Linked DNA regions of Lepisosteus oculatus. The protein of the gene in region 2 purifies or fractionates together with the protein of the main gene of each other region. This does not show direct contact. Links are inferred from orthologs where the notes say so. Each region holds a gene or a part of one and is shown on either strand. Other genes may lie near its edges.

Region 1 (10,000 bases), about 41 Mb from region 2:
AGTGAGAGAGAGAGAAGATCACAGAGAAGCCCTCAGTAATACACACACAACAGGACAGGAGACACAGTGAGAGAGAGAGGAGATCACAGAGAGTCCCTCAGTAATACACACACACAACAGGACAGGAGACACAGTGAGAGAGAGGAGATCACAGAGAATCCCTCAGTAATACACACACACAACAGGACAGGAGACACAGTGAGAGAGAGAGGAGATCACAGAGAATCCCTCAGTAATACACACACACAACAGGACAGGAGACACAGTGAGAGAGAGAGGAGATCACAGAGAATCCCTCGGTAATACACACACACAACAGGACAGGAGACACAGTGAGTGAGAGATAGGAGATCGTAGAGAAGCCCTCAGTAATAAACACACAACAGGACAGGAGACACAGTGAGAGAGAGGAGATCACAGAGAAGCCCTCAATAATAACATTACTAATAATAATTGACAGGGCGTGAGAAGTGCTCTTACCGTAGCACCGTAAAGGAATAAAGAAATGTCTCTTTGCCTCCTGTTCCCGAAATGTGAACCGCGATCACGCGTGTTTATTTACGTCTCAGTCCATGTCCTCCCGATATTCTTCAGGCACCACGGTTACACAGACACCCCCGGTTCGGTCCCTGGGCCTTTCCTTGCCGCCGCTGTCGGTACACAACTCTCGGAGTTTGCCTGGGTCTGTGGTGTGTGTGTTGTTATTGTTGTTACTCGCCCGTCTGTGAAGGAAGGAAAACACCACAGCTTCCGGTTTTAAACGGAAACCGGAAAGGGCTGGTCTCGACGAGAGCGACCGGAAAGAGCCGAGGGGCGATCCCTTCCGCTCGGGTCTTTCCGTCAACTCGCGCTGTGGACGCGCAGGAGCTTCTCTGTTTCCGGATCACGACCGGATTTGTGTTCTGTTGTGTAGACAGGCCAGAGCAGTGTTTTAGTAGCCGAAATAATAATAATAATAATCATCGCTGCCGCTGTTGTCATCATCACCAGCTACAGAGTCGATCCCCCTGCTGATGTCGCAGGAGAGACGTGCCGACAGCGCCACCTAGCGTTGGTAAAAGTTTGCGCCAGTAGCGGTTTAATTCCGACGCGGATCTGCAGACGCAGCACAAACCGCTTGAGAAGAGAGCTCTGCTCTTTTTTTATTATTAAACGTATAAAGAATTTTACAGACACAACCAGAGGATCGGAAACAGACAGGCACAAGAGAAAAAAACACAAACAGAAAAAAAAACAGTTAACCGCCAGAGGTAATGAAGTCAATGATGTGTTCGGATGATTTTTGGACAGATATCAAACGTTTTCCTTGCTGTAGCATTTCTCAGTTTTTTTAATAGAATTTCGTTTCAACTCCACCTCAAAAGTACTGAAAGGGGGAGTGTTATTGGACCATTTTGCTTGATGAATGTGACATTTACCCAGAATGACTATGATAAATGTACTATAAATAAATGCTTATTAAACAGCACAATCAAATATCAAAATCCCTCAATCTAAAAACACCTTTAACTGCCTGCACACAAAACACTGCAAGTCCGTCCAGAACAGCTTCCCAAACCCACCCCAGCCCTTGGGTCCCGGAGCGCAGCCCGAGCCCGGCTGTGCCAGCGGGGGAGATCTATCCGCTCGACGGAGGGCGGCTCGGGCCCGGTGATTTTCTGCGCGGACCTCAGAACCCCCTGTACGGCCTTTCTGTCCTGTCCTGGGGCTCCACTGCACCACCCCGGAGTGCGCTGGCTCTGGGGCTCAGGATCTGCGCCGTGATAATATGACTCTGATTTTACTCTGTAGTCGTATGTAGCTCTCTGAATGGTCTTGAATTCATTCAGATCTCTGAATTAATGAGCGGCTGATCGCTGATTGGGGTGTTTGGCCTCCTCTGGGGCTCAGGAGCTGTGCCTGTGGCTGGGAGGTTGCCGGTTCGAATCCCGGGGCTGGCAGAGAAATCCTATTCCTCACTCCGCTGGGCCCCTGAGCGAGGCCCTGAACCCCAGCTGCTCCAGGGGTGCTGTATAAATGGCCGACCCTGCGCTCTGACCCCCAGCTTCTCTCCCTGTCTGTGTGTCTCCTGGAGAGCAAGCTGGGGTCTGTGAAAAGACACATTCCTGATGAAAGAGACTGTACAGAGACAGGAAAGAGATCTGATCTTGATTGTACAGGGCCAGTAAAGAGATCTGATCTTGATTGTACAAAGACACTAAAGAGATCTGATCTTGATTGTACAGGGACAGGAAAGAGATCTGATCTTGATTGTAAAGGGACAGGAAAGAGATCTGATCTTGATTGTACAGGGACACTAAAGAGATCTGATCTTGATCGTACAGAGACAGTAAAGAGATCTGATCTTGATTGTACAGGGACAGTAAAGAGATCTGATCTTGATTGTATAGGGACAGTAAAGAGATCTGATCTTGATTGTACAGGGACACTAAAGAGATCTGATCTTGATTGTACAGGGACACTAAAGAGATCTGATCTTGATTGTACAGGGACAGGAAAGAGATCTGATCTTGATTGTACAGGGACACTAAAGAGATCTGATCTTGATCGTACAGAGACAGTAAAGAGATCTGATCTTGATTGTACAGGGACAGTAAAGAGACCTGATCTTGATTGTACAGGGACACTAAAGAGATCTGATCTTGATTGTACAGGGCCAGTAAAGAGATCTGATCTTGATTGTACAGGGACAGGAAAGAGATCTGATCTTGATCGTACAGGGACAGGAAAGAGATCTGATCTTGATTGTACAGGGACAGTAAAGAGATCTGATCTTGATTGTACAGGGACAGGAAAGAGATCTGATCTTGATTGTACAGGGACACTAAAGAGATCTGTGAGTTGAGAGCACAGCCGTGTGCTCAGCCCTGTGTTGAGGATCGGGGGGGGGGGTGTTCACCCCTCTTTTTGCACGTCTCAGAGTGAAAGTGCCCTGGGGCATACGAGCACCCGTACCTGGCCCCGCTGGCCGAGAGCACCCTCCTCCTCCTCCTCCTCGTGAGAGCGGTGATCGGACCCTGTCGGCCCGAGACCTGTGAAGGTTACTCTTCCGGCCCGGAGGAAAGCCTTTCCGACTCTTCCTGCCATGTCCCCCCCAGGGCATTCCTGCAAGCCGCTGGGACTGGAGCCCCTGAGGGTCTGATATTGAAGACGCTCAGAAGGAATTCCTGACACCTCTATAGCGCCTTTCTGGACCCTCCACCCCTCCCCCGGCGCTGTCCAGTACTGGGGACCCCCTCCACCCCCCCAGTCCGCTCACACACTCCAGCTCTCAGTGGGGAGGAGAGCAGAGTGATGAGGCCAGTTCAGAGAGGGGGGTGATCAGGAGGCCATGACTGGTAAAGACCAGGGGGAGTCTGTCCAGGACACTGGGGTCACACCCCTACTCTTTCTGAGAGACACCCTGGGGTCTTGACTGACCACAGAGGCAGGACCTCAGTTTTACGTCTCATCTGAAGGACGGCGCCTTGTTTACAGTCTAGTGTCCCCGTCACTGTCCTGGGGCATTAGGACCCCCACAGACTGCAGGGTGAGCACCCCCTACTGGCCCCACTGGGTCTCCCACCCAGGTACTGGCCAGGCTCACACTGCTGAGCTCCAGTGGGCTGTCAGTGAGCAGTAGGGGGATACGGCTGTAAATAATAATAATAATAATAATTACACTTATATAGAGCTTTTCTGGACACTCCAGTCAAAGAGCTTTACAGGTACTGGGGATCCCCTCATTTTCCCAGGATTCTTTTCCCGTTCACAACCGTTTTTTTGTGCAATATATGCCATGGACCCGTGCAATACATTTATATTTATATTTACATCTATATTTAGATTCATATGTGCAATACGATCTTTCTGTTCCAGTTTGTTCTTTGTGTGTCCTGGACTGTGAGGTACTCTTTTAGTGCACTTCTCACTGTACTGATTGTATAGTATGTATTGTATTATTATTATTATTATTATTATTGTATCATTCGTTACACTGTTGCTGTGTTGTCTGTGTTAAGCTGCTGTTGGAGTGCAGTTTCCCTCACGGGATCAATAAAGTATCTAGTGTCCCCGTCACTGTCCTGGGGCATTAGGACCCCCAGAGACCGCAGGGTGAGCGCCCCCTGCTGGCCCCACTAACACCTCTCCCAGGTACTGGCCAGGCTCACCCTGAGCCCCAGTGGGCTGTGTGTGAGCTGCAGGGGGGTACGGCTGCTGTTGTTATTCATGTCACCAGACAATGGCCACCTGGCATACAGATTCGTCTGTGTTTAATGTAATCTGTAATACAAGAATCCATCCATTCATTCAGACTGTACTCAGATTCTTCAAAAACATCCTGAAACAGTCCTACACACGTCTTGTGTCATATAAACTAGTTCAACGATGTGACCCCTCTTGTAATGTTAATCAGGTTGGTAGTGTTGTGGCTGATGTCCTGTTCTGCTGACTTGTATGATGTTTTTGTATTGTTATATCACAATGTCTGTATATTTATGCCCTTAATTGTCGTAATTTCTTCTTTGAAGAATAATAACATAGAACCTCATTTTATTTTTTTATTATCATGGTAAATATTTAGCTGTCTCCCTGGCTTCAGGTCACCCTCAAGCTTCAGGTCAAGCCCAGCAGAGACAGTGTCTCTGCCCCTCCGCTGGGAGAGATGCCTCTGTGTCTCCGGGAGGGACAGTAACACCCCTCTGCAGTCTCACCCTCTCTCTGACCTCAGGGCCCAGCGCTGGCCTGGGCTCTGTGTGGGTGATGCTGTAAAGACTGGCTTTGTCCTGAGACTCCCAGAGAGTCCTGCTGGGAGCACCTGGTGGACACTGTCCCCTGACCCTGCTGTCCACTCCAGCACAGGACAGGAGGACACTTTTCCCTGACCCTGCTGTCCACCCAAGCACAAGACAGGAGAACTCTGTCCCCTGACCCTGCTGTCCACTCCAGCACACAACAGGAGGACACTATCCCCTGACCCTGCTGTCCACACCAGCACAGGACAGGAAAACTCTGTCCTCTGACTCTGCTGTCCACTCCAGCACACAACAGGAGGACACTGACCCCTGGCCCTGCTGTCCACCCCAGCACAGGACAGGACACTGTCCCCTGACCCTGCTGTCCACTCCAGCACAGGACAGGAGGACACTGTCCCCTGATCCTACTGTCCACTCCAGCACAGGACAGGAGAACACTGTCCCCTGACCCTGCTGTCCACTCCAGCACAGGACAGGAGGACACTGTCCTCTCCCCTCTCTCCCCTCTCTCCCCCCTCCTCTCTCTCCTCCTCTCTCCTCTCTCCCGGGAGCTCTGTTTCCACTGAACAAGTACAGGTTTACTCCCTGCTGGAAAGAGGAGACAAGAAACACAACGTTTCGGCTGCGGAGCTTTTTCGGGTGTCGGGCGGGTTCCTCTGGAGCCTTTTTTAGCGAGTTACCACCCTGCACCTGTGTCCGTGTCCCCTAATGCGTGTGTAAGCGCTGTGGGTGGTGTTGTTGTACAGGGGGATATAGGCTGGTGCTTGTTCCCCTGTCTCGTCTCTGCTCGTCCTCTGTCCTGCACGAACCCATAGGCCCTACAACACCATCGCCAGGGGCACCTACTGCAACAGACCTGAACTTGACCGAAAATCGATTACACAAGGGAAATAAATCAAGATAAAGGCCAGCGCGGCTTTCATGTTCTCACTTTTAAAAATACTCTGCAGATTCGCCCTGACGTCTATTTCAAACTGCTCAGACACGGGTGTCTTCCCCGACTTTCTGTATATAACAACGTGCAAGTTGTTTTTGAGTCAGTAATGACGAATCATTTGTCCGCAGATGACCGACGACGCCTCGACCTTCGAACTCCTGTGAGCTGCAGGGGTAGCTGACGAGTGCTGTCCGGAGATTGCCGAAGTAGCCTCGGCCGGCCCCCCTCCGGAGATTGCCGAAGTTGCCTCGGCCTGCTCTCTCCGGAGATTACCGACGACTGAGCCTCGCGTTCGATCCCCCTCCCGCTCCTGCTCTTCGGGCCTCTCCGGCTCCGGAGAAAGCCGAGCTCTGACGTCAGCGGGGGGGAAGGCGTTGCAGCGGCCGAGCCGGGGAGAGAGAGAGCGAGCGAGCGCAAGAGCGAGGGGGGAAAAGCAAAGATGGCGGAGCTCGAAGACGTTACGTTGGATGGGAAGCCGCTTCACTCGCTCCGGGTGGCGGACCTGAAGGCCGCCCTGGAGCAGCGAGGCCTCCCCAAGAGCGGGCAGAAGAACGCGCTCATCAAGCGGCTCAAAGGGGTGAGTTTGGCCGCGGTTCCGCGGGGGGCTCGGACGGGACTGGGGCGGCAGGGGGGGGCGGCAGCAGGCTCCCGGAGCACGAAGAAGCGAGCCCTCGGGTTGGAGTCCGCGGCGGCGGCCGCCCCCCGGCCCGGGCGGGCGGGCGGGAGCGAGGGAGCGAGGGCGCGGGCGGGCGGGAGGCCCAGGCCCGGCGCCCGGGGGCCGGGGGCGCGGCGAGGGCGCCGGGCCTGCAGGCTGCGAGCGGAGCGGCGGCTGGAAAGTTGAGCCGCGCCGAGGAGGCCGAGAGGGAGCGAGGGGCGAGTGTGTGTGTGTGTTTACGGGAGTCGGCGCGGCTCGGTGTGTCGGTTAGTTTTTTTTCTGAGTAGAAGTCGACGAGCCCGCGCTTTGTGTGTCTGTGCGCGTTCACGGAGAGCGAGCGAGGGGGGCCGTTTCTCCCGGGTGCGTGCGCGCTCTCTTGCTCGCGCTCGCAGGGGGGGGGGGGTTGAGGCCGGAGGACTGAAGGAGCGGGGATGTCGCGCGCTTTTACAGTTTGTGTTTTTCTGGCGGTGTGACGTGGACGAGGCTCGTTCCCGGGGATTAGCTGTCAGCGAGTGCCAGCGGCCGGAGTCGCGCTGGTTGGAAACCCGGCGCTCTTGACGGGGGGCGTCGGGGGGCTCCCTCTCTGCGAAATTACGAGCCTGTTGGGATCCCCCCGCTACCCACGTGAGCGCGCGCGTCGGCCACTCGCGATGATTGGTTTCAATTAAAGACGCGACGCTCTGTGCAAAAACACGAAGGTTGTGATTTTCAGAGGTGTCGACAAATCAGGCTGGGGGGTCTGTGTGTTTGAGTTGTTGAAGTTTGACGCCCCTGGCCAGGACCCCGATCAGGTGTGCCGAGAAGCCCGGTTGTGCTTTTCTGTGCCATCAGACTGCTGCTGCACTGTGGAGTTTCTCTCTCGCTGGCCGGGAGCTGTGACTGCACTGCACTGTCTGTGTGCGATGCTGTGTGTGTTTGTGCATGTGCTGTCATTGGTTCACCTCCCTGTGTGTGTAGGACGTGCTCAGTAAGTGTCAGTCCAGATCCCAGGACACTGTCAGTAAGAGTAGGGGTGTCCTGACTGGTCAGTACAGATCCCAGGACACTGTCAGTAAGAGTAGAGGTGTCCTGACTGGTCAGTACAGATCCCAGGACACTGTCAGTAAGAGTAGGGGTGTCCTGACTGCTGGTCAGTCCAGATCCCAGGACACTGTCAGTAAGAGTAGGGGTGTCCTGACTGGTCAGTTCAGATCCCAGGACACTGTCAGTAAGAGTAGGGGTGTCCTGACTGGTCAGTACAGATCCCAGGACACTGTCAGTAAGAGTAGGGGTGTCCTGACTGGTCAGTCCAGATCCCAGGACACTGTCAGTAAGAGTAGGGGTGTCCTGACTGGTCAGTACAGATCCCAGGACACTGTCAGTAAGAGTAGGGCTGTCCCGACTGGTCAGTCCAGATCCCAGGACACTGTCAGTAAGAGTAGGGGTGTCCTGACTGGTCAGTCCAGATCCCAGGACACTGTCAGTAAGAGTAGGGGTGTCCTGACTGGTCAGTACAGATCCCAGGACACTGTCAGTAAGAGTAGGGGTGTCCTGACTGGTCAGTACAGACCCCAGGACACTGTCAGTAAGAGTAGGGGTGTCCTGACTGGTCAGTCCAGATCCCAGGACACTGTCAGTAAGAGTAGGGGTGTCCTGACTGGTCAGTTCAGATCCCAGGACACTGTCAGTAAGAGTAGGGGTGTCCTGACTGGTCAGTTCAGATCCCAGGACACTGTCAGTAAGAGTAGGGGTGTCCTGACTGGTCAGTCCAGATCCCAGGACACTGTCAGTAAGAGTAGGGGTGTCCTGACTGCTGGTCAGTACAGATCCCAGGACACTGTCAGTAAGAGTAGGGGTGTCCTGACTGCTGGTCAGTCCAGATCCCAGGACACTGTCAGTAAGAGTAGGGGTGTCCTGACTGCTGGTCAGTCCAGATCCCAGGACACTGTCAGTAAGAGTAGGGGTGTCCTGACTGGTCAGTACAGATCCCAGGACACTGTCGGTAAGTCTAGGGGTGTCCTGACTGCTGGTCAGTCCAGATCCCAGGACACTGTCAGTAAGAGTAGGGGTGTCCTGACTGGTCAGTCCAGATCCCAGGACACTGTCAGTAAGAGTAGGGGTGTCCTGACTGGTCAGTACAGATCCCAGGACACTGTCAGTAAGAGTAGGGGTGTCCTGACTGGTCAGTACAGACCCCAGGACACTGTCAGTAAGAGTAGGGGTGTCCTGACTGGTCAGTCCAGATCCCAGGACACTGTCAGTAAGAGTAGGGGTGTCCTGACTGGTCAGTTCAGATCCCAGGACACTGTCAGTAAGAGTAGGGGTGTCCTGACTGGTCAGTTCAGATCCCAGGACACTGTCAGTAAGAGTAGGGGTGTCCTGACTGGTCAGTCCAGATCCCAGGACACTGTCAGTAAGAGTAGGGGTGTCCTGACTGCTGGTCAGTACAGATCCCAGGACACTGTCAGTAAGAGTAGGGGTGTCCTGACTGCTGGTCAGTCCAGATCCCAGGACACTGTCAGTAAGAGTAGGGGTGTCCTGACTGCTGGTCAGTCCAGATCCCAGGACACTGTCAGTAAGAGTAGGGGTGTCCTGACTGGTCAGTTCAGATCCCAGGACTCTGTCAGTAAGAGTAGGGGTGTCCTGACTGCTGGTCAGTCCAGATCCCAGGACACTGTCAGTAAGAGTAGGGGTGTCCTGACTGCTGGTCAGTACAGATCCCAGGACACTGTCAGTAAGAGTAGGGGTGTTGCTTATCCATCCTTTATTGACCTTTGATCAGGGGACACCTCTGATGTATTCCTTGTTAATGCATGGTATTTGCTTACTGTAGTGTGCTGTGTTTGATTCTGCTCTAATTAGTTGCATTGTTTTGAATAGTGATTAACTGAGATTATAATCAGACTCCACTGACAGAGCAGTGTGAGACACTCCAGACTGGACTGGACTGACTGGACTGTGATCTTGATTAGTGATTCACTGAGATTATAATCAGACTCATTGACACTGACAGCTGTCTGAGCCAGTGTCTGACTGACATTAGTGGTATCGATGTGAGCTGTGAGAGGATGAGAGGGGGCTCTGGTAGAACTGGTGTCCTGGCCTGCTGCTCCAGTGATGAGTTACCATGCTAATACTGATACACCAGGCTGGCTGTGTGTCTGTCTGGGTGTAGGTGAGTTAAACTCTCCTTCTCACATTGTCTGTGTGCTCTGAGGAGATCACTGGGCCAGCCTGCCAGCCTCTGTTAATTTCTCTCTCCTGGGCTTCCTGACTGAGACCAGCCTGTTACCTTGACTTTCAGATTATCCCTGAGTCTGAGGATGGACTGACTGGACTGTGATCTTGATTAGAGATTAACTGAGATTATAATCAGACTCCACTGACACTGACAGAGCAGTGTGAGACTCTCCAGGCTGGACTGGACTGACTGGACTGTGATCTTGATTAGTGATTCACTGAGATTATAATCAGACTCCACTGACACTGACAGAGCAGTGTGAGACTCTCCAGGCTGGACTGGACTGTATGATTAGCAGTGTGTATCCTGAACACCAAGGGGCTGTAGTGTCTAGGCTGCAGTCTTCAGTATAGTGCGTGGGGCTGGTTGAGAGAGACAGCAGTGTGTCCAGTGCTGGTGATTGTGGTTCATGTCTAATCTATGTGTTTATGTTGTTTCAGGCTCTGATGTTA
Region 2 (9,724 bases):
TTCATATGGATGCTACTTTTTGTCAGTTTCATTAAGACCAAGGCTTTTGTGTCTGAATGCTTCATGAAGTTTGTTGAGAAGTCAAGCCAAATCAAGTTAGCCAAGTCAAGAACATGTCAGCTTGCAGAACAGGAAAAGACTGTCAATGTCAATACAAAATAAATCAATATGTATTTTTTCCCCTTAGTTTTAACTTTGGCCAAAAAGGTCTTCAATCCACCCCAAGACCAAAAGGGTCTTCACCCCATCCTACATCCACAATGAAATGATTGAGCTCTTTTGGGTCAAATCTTCCACCTTTTTTCAATGACACTACTTGAACGCTGCGGCAAGGTGCTGTAGTTTTATTCCGAGTTTAATGTATGAAATGGACAAGTATTTAAGCAGTGTCTCTGCCAGTTCTTTCCTATAAATGCATGGGGTAAAGCAGCACGAATGCAATGGCAATATTCCAACCTTTGGACAATTCAAAACACAACTCACTCAGGTACTGTCAACTGAAAACCTCAAATGCCAAAGAACCCGAGACAGCCGCTGTTGGTTTACTTTCAGTTTTGCCACATGGGGGCGACTCAGATGTTGAGTGGCAGTGAGATGGATAAGCAACTGCAAGGAATAATATAGACGTTCAGCAGCAAATATACACATGTCTAGCAATGACAACAATAAGACAACAATAGCAGTTCTGAAGAGATATCATAGAGAAAGGTACAAGACGTGACAAGAGTGTTCAGGAAAATGTCTAACAAAAAGTGTTTTATGGTATGTTTATGCTAGAGTTCATGGTGTTCGAATTAAATATAGATATCGGTTAGTTTGAGACATGCACATGTCTGTGTTTAAGTGTCTGCTGCAAATTTCACTTTATCCAAGCGACGGCAGAATCATGAGTCATTGTGCTAATAGTACTGTATTAATCATACTGTAACCCAGCCAGCCTGCTTTAATGCAATTTTGAACTTTAAAGAACAAAGTGATCTTGATTATTACACTAAAACATGGAAATCTGACATTTTAATATGAGGTGTTGACCAAAATAATTAACATGAGCGACACAATGATTTGTCTGAGAATAAGAAATATATCTCATGGATGTCTATATAGATCAGAAATCATTCCCAGGCTCAATAAATCAGAAAGTAATGCCATTTAAAGGCTTTCAGAAAGATTTATTTTTTAAAAATAAAGTCCCCTTTTCTTTCACAACCTACTTCAAATTTGAATAAAACAGTTTACAAAGGTATTTTTATAAAACACTCACATTATATATATATTAATTTAACTTATAAATTATTACTTACTGTCTATATTATATGTAAGCTTACTTACAGTACTGTATACAGTATACAGTATATAACTTTATATGTTTTCGTTATATAATGAAGTGGAAACACTTCTGGTAAAAATCAATGTGTGAAAGCTATGAACACTAATAACACTGGAGTAACTTGAATATTTTCAAACCACTCCTAAGGAATTTCTGCCTAACTATTATATGAATATGCCAAATACATTAATTATATAAGGTAATACAATCACAAAAGGTTAGATTTACAGTATAACATTATACACAAGTACATTCTATACAAATTTATACAACATTCTATACAAGGTGAAACTGAGCTTAAAATAAAATTCACACACAAATCTAGGTGAAATACAGGGGAATATAAAAAACTAGATGAAATCCATTTTTATTTGTAAACTCAAATACAATTATTATGGTCAAGTTTCTAAATGGTACACACTTGCTGCTGAAAAAATGATTTGCATTAAAAAACTAAATATTATTTTTTCAAACTAAAACTATAGAAAAAACAATAGCATAAAACAAAAAGTAGATTTCGATTTTTAAATACTGAGTTAATATAATTTCATAACATCTTTTGCAATGACTTATGAGTCTGAGTAAAAGTATACTAGTTACAGTATTTTAGAAAAACAAGCAAATAAATAGTTAACTGCTGTACACTGCAGGCATCGGAGAGTTGCGTATCTCAGCCGACTGCATTACAGTACACCAAAATTAAACGCTATTTATTCGCTGTTGTATGACACAGTTCCAAGCCTTAATTTGACAAAAAAACTACTTAAATCTTTCTGATTTAAGATTACGGTTGGGGTTATTTGTGTCATTGTACATTTCATTTGTTTACAACCAATTTGTTGCACGTTGCCCACTTTCTTAATTATGGTCACTGTAAAAACTATTACTGTATTGTATACATTTCCCGTTTTCAGTTTACCAGGATCTAACGTTTTTTTTTCCTTTGCGCAATTCAGCGTAACTCAATGCAAGTACAAATTTAAACGATTTGAATTTAAGTAATCGTAATACGGTGCTCCGCGCAGCTAAGACAGGTTCAGGTCATTTATTTCTTTCCTTTGACTTGGTACTGTATCTTAGCGATGCACTGAAACTCAATTCAAGAAGAGCTATCAGTTTTAGTAGTACTCTGACTTTTGACAGTAAACTGACTTGGTGAACTAGCGTGCTCCTTTATTCAGAGCGTATTAACAAGAGTCGACAAGTTGGGGTTAGAGTATTTTATTTAAGACCCCTAACAACTATATACAATAAATATGCATAGTAGGTTTTTAATGCAGTGGGTGGACCACACCACAGCTTCACTGTCTGTACAATTCATTACTTTGAATTAAGAGCGTAAAGAAAGCAGTTTTTACAGCGCTTTTCTCTCTGTAGGCTACAGTACATCCTGAGAAAGAATTCAAAATCTAAATTAACATTTCAAAAAGCAGGTCAACTATCTGGTAATGTTGCAATCATCAACTGACTAACATCAAAATAAGGAGCACAATTAAAGTTTTATGGGTGATGAGACTATTTTTGTGACTTAATTGTACCTTTTTCCATTATTGCGAACATGTTAAGTATCTAAAGACCCCCCCAGAAAAGAAAGCACATGCATAAATGGCTGCTATATGCACTCGTTTTACGTTATGTAAGTTGATGCCATCATCCTTTTTATCCTCTTCTTCACACATTACATACAGTACAGCAGTACTTCAAAGCACGAAGTGTATGCTTCGCATTGAAGTCGAACACAGAGCAAATGCAACATAACAAGTGGGCTAACTTGTGAGGAAAAAAAAGATAACTTCTAAAATAACGCTTCTTAAATTGGCTTACTAACTCAAGATCATTACAGATTTTGTTTTAAAAATAGCAAAGCGTATTTATTTACACTTAAGTTACAGACCATAAACAGGACTGCAAACAATAAATAATGCATTTGATTTTTTTTAAAGAATCCGCTCAATCAACCCTGTGCATAAAAGAAAGTCTTTGTCTTAGGCAATTACCAACCTTTTCCGTTTCACATTCTACTCACATATAAAGTGACAACTGTACAAAACAAACCCCACAACACGTAAGAGCTCCACTGCGCCTACCTAAAATGCCAAGTCCTCGGTAAATTTAGGGTCCACTGTAGTTCCCTGCCTAGTCTTCTTCACAAAAATAAAGATGCTCTGTGCTTTCAGATCAGTCGACTCTTTTCTTGTTTAACGTGTTGAGCTGCTTGCAGGTGTTTCTTTTGCTATAACGAGAGGGGTAAATTCCAGGTCTCCTGTTCCATCCACCGTGCGCTTTCTGGCTAACCGGAGTTGGAGAGGGACTGAATCTCTCAATCGCTACTACGCGTAACAGAAACCGAGCGAGCGAGAGAGAGAGGGAGTTACAGCGAGATAAACTGACAAGCAAACGAGGGGTGTGGCTATTAAATGAACCTCTCTACAAATGATACAGCCTTGAATGAATAATTCTTTCTAGGCCTTCTGTGGTGGAAAAGTTATAGTTATGTGATAGCTGCTGGGTGCACTGTGGCACAAATTAACTTACAGTAGTGGTGACGGGGGTAAGTGCATCCAAGTTTGGGAGTGTGATCACGGAAAAAAATCTTATCAGAGAGCGGAAGAGAAGCAAGCGCAGCGCCTTTTGCCTTCACTGCACTTTCACAATTATACAAATTAACTTCGCAAAAGGTTCCAATTTCCGTCGCAGTTCGCGGTTTTACACCGTTTACGCAGTGCGGATGCTTGAACCCAATATTATCAAGAATCAAGAAGCTGTGCTTTCTTGTATCGCATTGTACAGTATTGTGAATATAGGTACTGTGTGGATGCGTTATACTGTGACTCAGAACAACGGTAGTTTCTTTATCCATCCATTATATACAGTACATCCTCCTCATCCTCCAGCAGCAAGCTGGTGCCCAAACTAGCAGGCTAGCAGACACCACACTAGCAGACTGCACAAGCCTTGACTTTGGATTGGCTGAGACAGGGGGATGACAGAGCACACCCATGGAAAATTTGGGGACACCAACTAACTGACATGGAGAAAAACTGTGAACTGTGAGGCAGCACAAAATAATTTTAAGACAACTGTATATTGAGCACATGAGGGCAGCCCCACTACACAGTAGCTTTGGTGCTCAGTCTCCTTTACTAGCACTAAACGAATTCCTCTGATTGCCCCGGTTCTGGATTTTAAAATCATATTAACATTTCACAGATACTCTGTTCTCCTTGTGCAATTGGTTACAGCTTCAGTACAACAGGTAAAAAAAACAACAACATGAGGGAAGCACGGTGCAATGGTTAGTATTGCTGCCTAAGAGCACTGGGGCCCTGGGTTTAATTCCAGACCTGGGGTGCTATCTGTGTGGGTTTCCTCCAGGTGCTCTGGTTCCCTCCCACAGTCTGAAAACATACTGGTAGGTTAATTGGCTTCTGGGAAAATTGTTCTTAGTTTGTGCGCCGTACTATGGGCGTCCTGTCCAGGATGTACACTGCCCTGTGCCTGTTGCTTGCTGGGGTAGTCTTTAGCTTCCCTGTGACCCTAAATTGGGTGAAGTTGTTAGAAAATGGATGGACGACCTCCTCAGACATGTAAGCAGGGTGTAATACCCAAGTATTGCACATAAAAATAAAACAGGAAAACATGAGCTTAACCTTTTGTCACTCATTTTTTTTACTGGTGTGTTAAACAAGGCCCACCCTTGATTTTCCCTCTGATAACATGGGATAAACCGTGTTTGACCCAGATATACAGAATTAAAATACTATATATCTGTATATATTTCAGTCTTTACTTCTAGAAGGTTCCAGAGGGGGTTAATATTACATGTCCCTGGCAAGATAAATGTTCTGCATTTCCCTTGGAACTCTGTTCATTCCTTGCGGATCTGAAGGATTTTCTTTGTGGCAAAGACCATTGACGAAATGATGACAATCAGGCTACAGTGCAGTGTTGAGCAGAACAGCAATCAGGAAAGCAAACCATTCAAACAAAAAAATACACATCTTGATTAGAGAACATTGAGAGCTAGATACCATGGTGCTCCAAAGGGTTTTTGAATAAAAGAATAAATGGTGGTTATAAATGAACCTTTTCTGTATCTGTGTGGTGTTCGTTTGGAACAACATCAAAGTTTCAGTTTCTAAATCTATGCTGGTCAAGGAGAGGGGAGTAAATCTGGGCCTGTTTATCACTGCCATTTAAAAATTACCAATAAGAAGTACATAGAAAATTCAGGTATTTTCAGAGGGTTAACATATTATGGTCACTTATGTACTGGAAATGTGTTCCTAATACATTTCATTTCTAATACATGTTGTTTTATCTCTCTTCTTGCCATTAGCGTAACTTAATGGAGATGCTTGATGTTCTGGAGCACTTGCCAGTGTACTGCTGTGACTTGATGAAATCCCCTTGGATCCATATGTCCATGTGCATTAGTTTATATGTGTCACAAAAAGTAGCTTGCCAGGGATGTGTGAAGGGTTATTGTGGTAGTCAATAAGCATGCACTGATTTTATTCAAATTCACTGTCTTTTCCTTTTTAGTCCTTAACATAAATATTCTGAAATCATATTAACCTGAGGCATCTACTGTAAATGCATGGATAATGTTTTACCATACGCAATGTTATTCACTGCTATGATGTCACATTGACCTCTTTTTTCATAGTACTGAAACCTGGTATACTGAGCTGCTGAGGACTATTTCGTACCGCTCTGTGTTTCTTTAGAACAGTCATGGTGACCTACTTTTTCGTAGTGTCGGCAGTGGTTATTTATGTTCCTTTTGGGGAGACTTGTGTGTTGCTTCCGTTCTTGTGTTCTTGCACTCTGACTGATTCCTGTTTGTGTGATTTGTCACCCAACCAATATAGCTGAATTCCTTCAGAACTCTCATTTAATGTACATTATGAAGATATCTGAACAACAGAGAAAGAGGTGTCTAAAGCACGGGGAATGAAAATCACACTTTAGATTTCAGCCTTTACAATGAATTTTAGTTAGTCACTGAGTAAGAAATGTTTCTGTGACCCATTTTAAATCTGTATGTTTTTTGTTCAGTACTTGCACAGAAAGGGCAATGTGGAATTTTCTGCACTTTTATTTTATTGCTTACATTTTTTTTTACATTCCCCTTCTGTATTGTTTTGTTTTTTAGGTAGTATCAGCTCCCCCCACCCACTCTCTTTCTAATAACACTTGCTGTGCATTATTGTAGGCCCCCTCTCCATGTACTCTTGTTTCTTCACCCACATGGACTGGAAACTGCTGAGGCAGGTGATAATGGAACCTCCTACCCAGGATGAGAACTGGCGGTGGGGCCCAGACAGCACAGCCACGGGGGAGCCCTGGGGAACGAGCTTCAGCATCTCCATCTTGAGTCTCTCAGAGAAACCAGGGAGCAGCGAAGAACCACCACATGTTGCCACATTCTTCATCATCACTGCCTGGTGCTCGGTAGCACACTTTTTAAGACTGTTCATGGCCATGATGTGCATGCCAGGTTGTGACACACCTACAGTGGATGGGCAGAACAGTATTTCAGGGCAGAGGAACCGCTGGCTGCCCAGAGTAATGGTGTTTCCATCTGGAAGCAGGTAATCCATCAGGTAACCTTGCTCTTCTGACCTCAACTCTTCGCCTAAGTCCTCTGACACATAGCAGCATTTCTCCTTCATATCCTGCACTATGGATATTTCCTTTGAGCTGAAACAATGTCCTGCCTCTGCCGCCAGCTTGCTTAGGTGTTCATTTAAGGCCTGACCAGCCAGATCGAGACGGGAGGTGGCATGGGGCAGACAGTACCCATTATAGACAGGGGAGACATAAGTGCAACCAGATCCAGAATCCACAACCAAACCTGTGAGTCGTCCATAGGAGTAGATGGACAGCACAGACTGGGGAGCTAAGTAAATGGCTGGTACCTCAAATCCTTCGAACAGAACTTCTGCAGTCTTCTCCCGGTTGGTGGAAGGAGTGTAAGGAGGGTCTGTCACTAAGATTCCATGTTCCTCAGGGCAGACTTGCAGCTCATGGTAGAACACATGGTGCCACAACTTTTCTAAGGCATCCCAGTCGGTCACAATACCATGGGTGATAGGCTTTTTCATCACTAAATCCTTTCTGGGTATGTTGTGTCCAATGTAGTAATCCAGTTCTTCGCTCTTTTTTGTATTCCATCTGCTTCCTATAAACATACCAGTAGAGGACTTGATCATGGTTTGGGGTCTCTCATCCCCAGAGAATCCAGCTTTAGTGTAGCCAGATCCAGAGTCAAGTACAATAGCTACGGTCTGTTTGAAATCATCACCTCTGTCTTCAGAAACTACAGCTGACTCAGAAGAAGCTGTTGTATGTTGATTGGTGGCTGGAGTTCTCGCAGACATTAGGCCTCTTGTTCAGGCTACTTTCACCTTTTTGTCCTTTATGTATTTATTTTAATGAATTTCTTCTGCTGTGCAAAGACAACAGTGGGGTTTTGAAGGATACTACAGTATCTCTTGGTAGCTGTGACAACCAACCACATCATAATGGCCCACTAGCTAATACAAAGGGTACCGGCAAAGGTGGGGTATCCTTTGTTGCCTGTGATGTCACAAGTAAAACTAATGATGCAATTCTTTTCAAAAACATTCCAAAGTACGAAGGCAAAAAAAGAGCATGCTCTAAAATAAACAGGAATTTTGATTTAAATATTAGTGAGTGAGTGTAGTTACATCACAGCTCAAACGGGAAATGTATACAATACAGTAATAGTTTTTACAGTGACTATAATCCCCAAAGTCATAAAATGCTGAATCAAATGTATAATTATTTCAGAGTATGTAATTATAGCTTTGTTTAATATTACTTTGAAACATGATACTTCAGTGGTCAAATATCACCCAAAATAATTGGTTATATCTTAACATTTATATAACACTACAATGAAGCTACAATTAAAATTGTGTATTAGCATTTTATTTGGAATTTCCTTTTTGAAATAATGAGAAGATCTCATTTTCCGTGAATATAAAAAATACAAATCAACAGCTATAGAAGTAATAGAAAAAAAAACTAGAACTGTATACTGGGTAATAAGGATTTAAATAGTTGACAGAGATGTGGGGAACTACCAACACCTTGTGTGATCACCTGCTGAAGTGCTAAGTAATGAAACTCTCAAAGAGACAAGGATGTTCTCACACGCTTGTTATTCTGGGTTTCACTGTTATTAACACTTTACTTTTAGCCTGCTCTGCAAAAAGAGTCCAGTGATTTTCCAAAGAAATCCTGAGAGAAAGTTCCTAGGATAGAAAATTCTAACCACAGCTTCAATTGGCTGAATATCCTGTGATGAGGACTAAATGTAACTTTATTTGTATGAACAAATACTGATCCCAGCATTGACTATTACCAGGGTGCATGTGCACAACACTTTTGCCTTTTTAAGATGATATTCCTGACTGATTCTTGTGCCACGCTTTTAATTGAACTGGCAATGGTTTACTTTACTCGGGCGGACCTGTGATGATGTGGTCAGCATTGTTCCCTTGTTCCCTGGGGCTCTGAGATCAGTTCCTGGGGTGCCATCCACTCAGTGTTTACTGTATATGTTCTTCCTGTGCTCGCTTGGGTTTCCTCTGGTTACTCTGGTTTCCTTCCACAGTCCAAACATACTGGTAGGTAACTTAGCGTCTGTGAAATTGGCCCTGGTGTAAGTGTGTGTTTGTGTCTGTGTGTGCCCTGTGACAGACCAGTGACTTGTCCAGGGTGTACAAGACTGTCTTGTGCCTGTCACTTGCCAGGATAGACTCTGGCTCCCCAGTCACCCTGCACTGGATAAAGAGGCTTTGAAAATGGATGGATCGTTCACTATTGTCTATATTTTGTTTCACCATGGTATTATTGTCATATAATCCATCCATCCAGGGTATCAGCACCACTGCATTTCTGCACAGCTCTGGCCATATAATTCATTCTGTAACCAGGTGATTAACAAAATGTAAATAACTTAGTAGTCAATTATCCATCTTCATGCTTAATAACACATTTATTAACAGTTCTCTGATTGTTTGAACAGACTCGACAAATATTTTGTTAATTTCAAAATGCCTATTGTGCTTTTACTAGGGCACAATGCAACATATCTTTCTCATTACAAAAAAAAAACCTTAATCGTGTACCCTTACTCAAAAAAAATAATTATTTTTTTTTAGAAAAAACAACGCCTGGACTAGTTTTAGCAATGCATGTTCATGCAATCAAGGAATCCAGCCGTACGTTCCTAACCATCCTCCCTATTCACCAACATGCAGCCTCTCTCTGAGTGCTTCTTTTCCCCTAAAATGGTCAATTAAACAATCAGTTAACTGACTCACACCCACCTCCTGCCCTCCCGCTGGCTCCAGAGACTCA

The links. Proteins that work in one complex are often made in the same cells at the same time.
Region 1: the proteins of caM kinase-like vesicle-associated protein (region 2) and acin1b purify together in Homo sapiens (affinity purification with mass spectrometry; 3 studies listed by BioGRID and IntAct, counting the BioPlex papers as one, with this or other methods). This does not show direct contact. The link is inferred for Lepisosteus oculatus from reciprocal best matches to the Homo sapiens genes CAMKV and ACIN1.

Annotation. Positions count from the first base shown.
Region 1 is NC_090699.1:13,178,673-13,188,672, reverse strand, and holds the start of acin1b (apoptotic chromatin condensation inducer 1b), read left to right. Parts: upstream 1-6,018; 5' UTR 6,019-6,112; coding exon 6,113-6,250; intron 6,251-9,416; exon of another isoform or gene 9,417-9,528; intron 9,529-9,988; coding exon 9,989-10,000.
Region 2 is NC_090699.1:54,175,131-54,184,854, forward strand, and holds the start of caM kinase-like vesicle-associated protein, read right to left. Parts: upstream 3,773-9,724; 5' UTR 3,415-3,772; intron 607-3,414; 5' UTR 484-606; intron 1-483. Other genes in the region: uncharacterized protein, read right to left, coding at 6,517-7,713. UniProt on the Homo sapiens protein: Does not appear to have detectable kinase activity.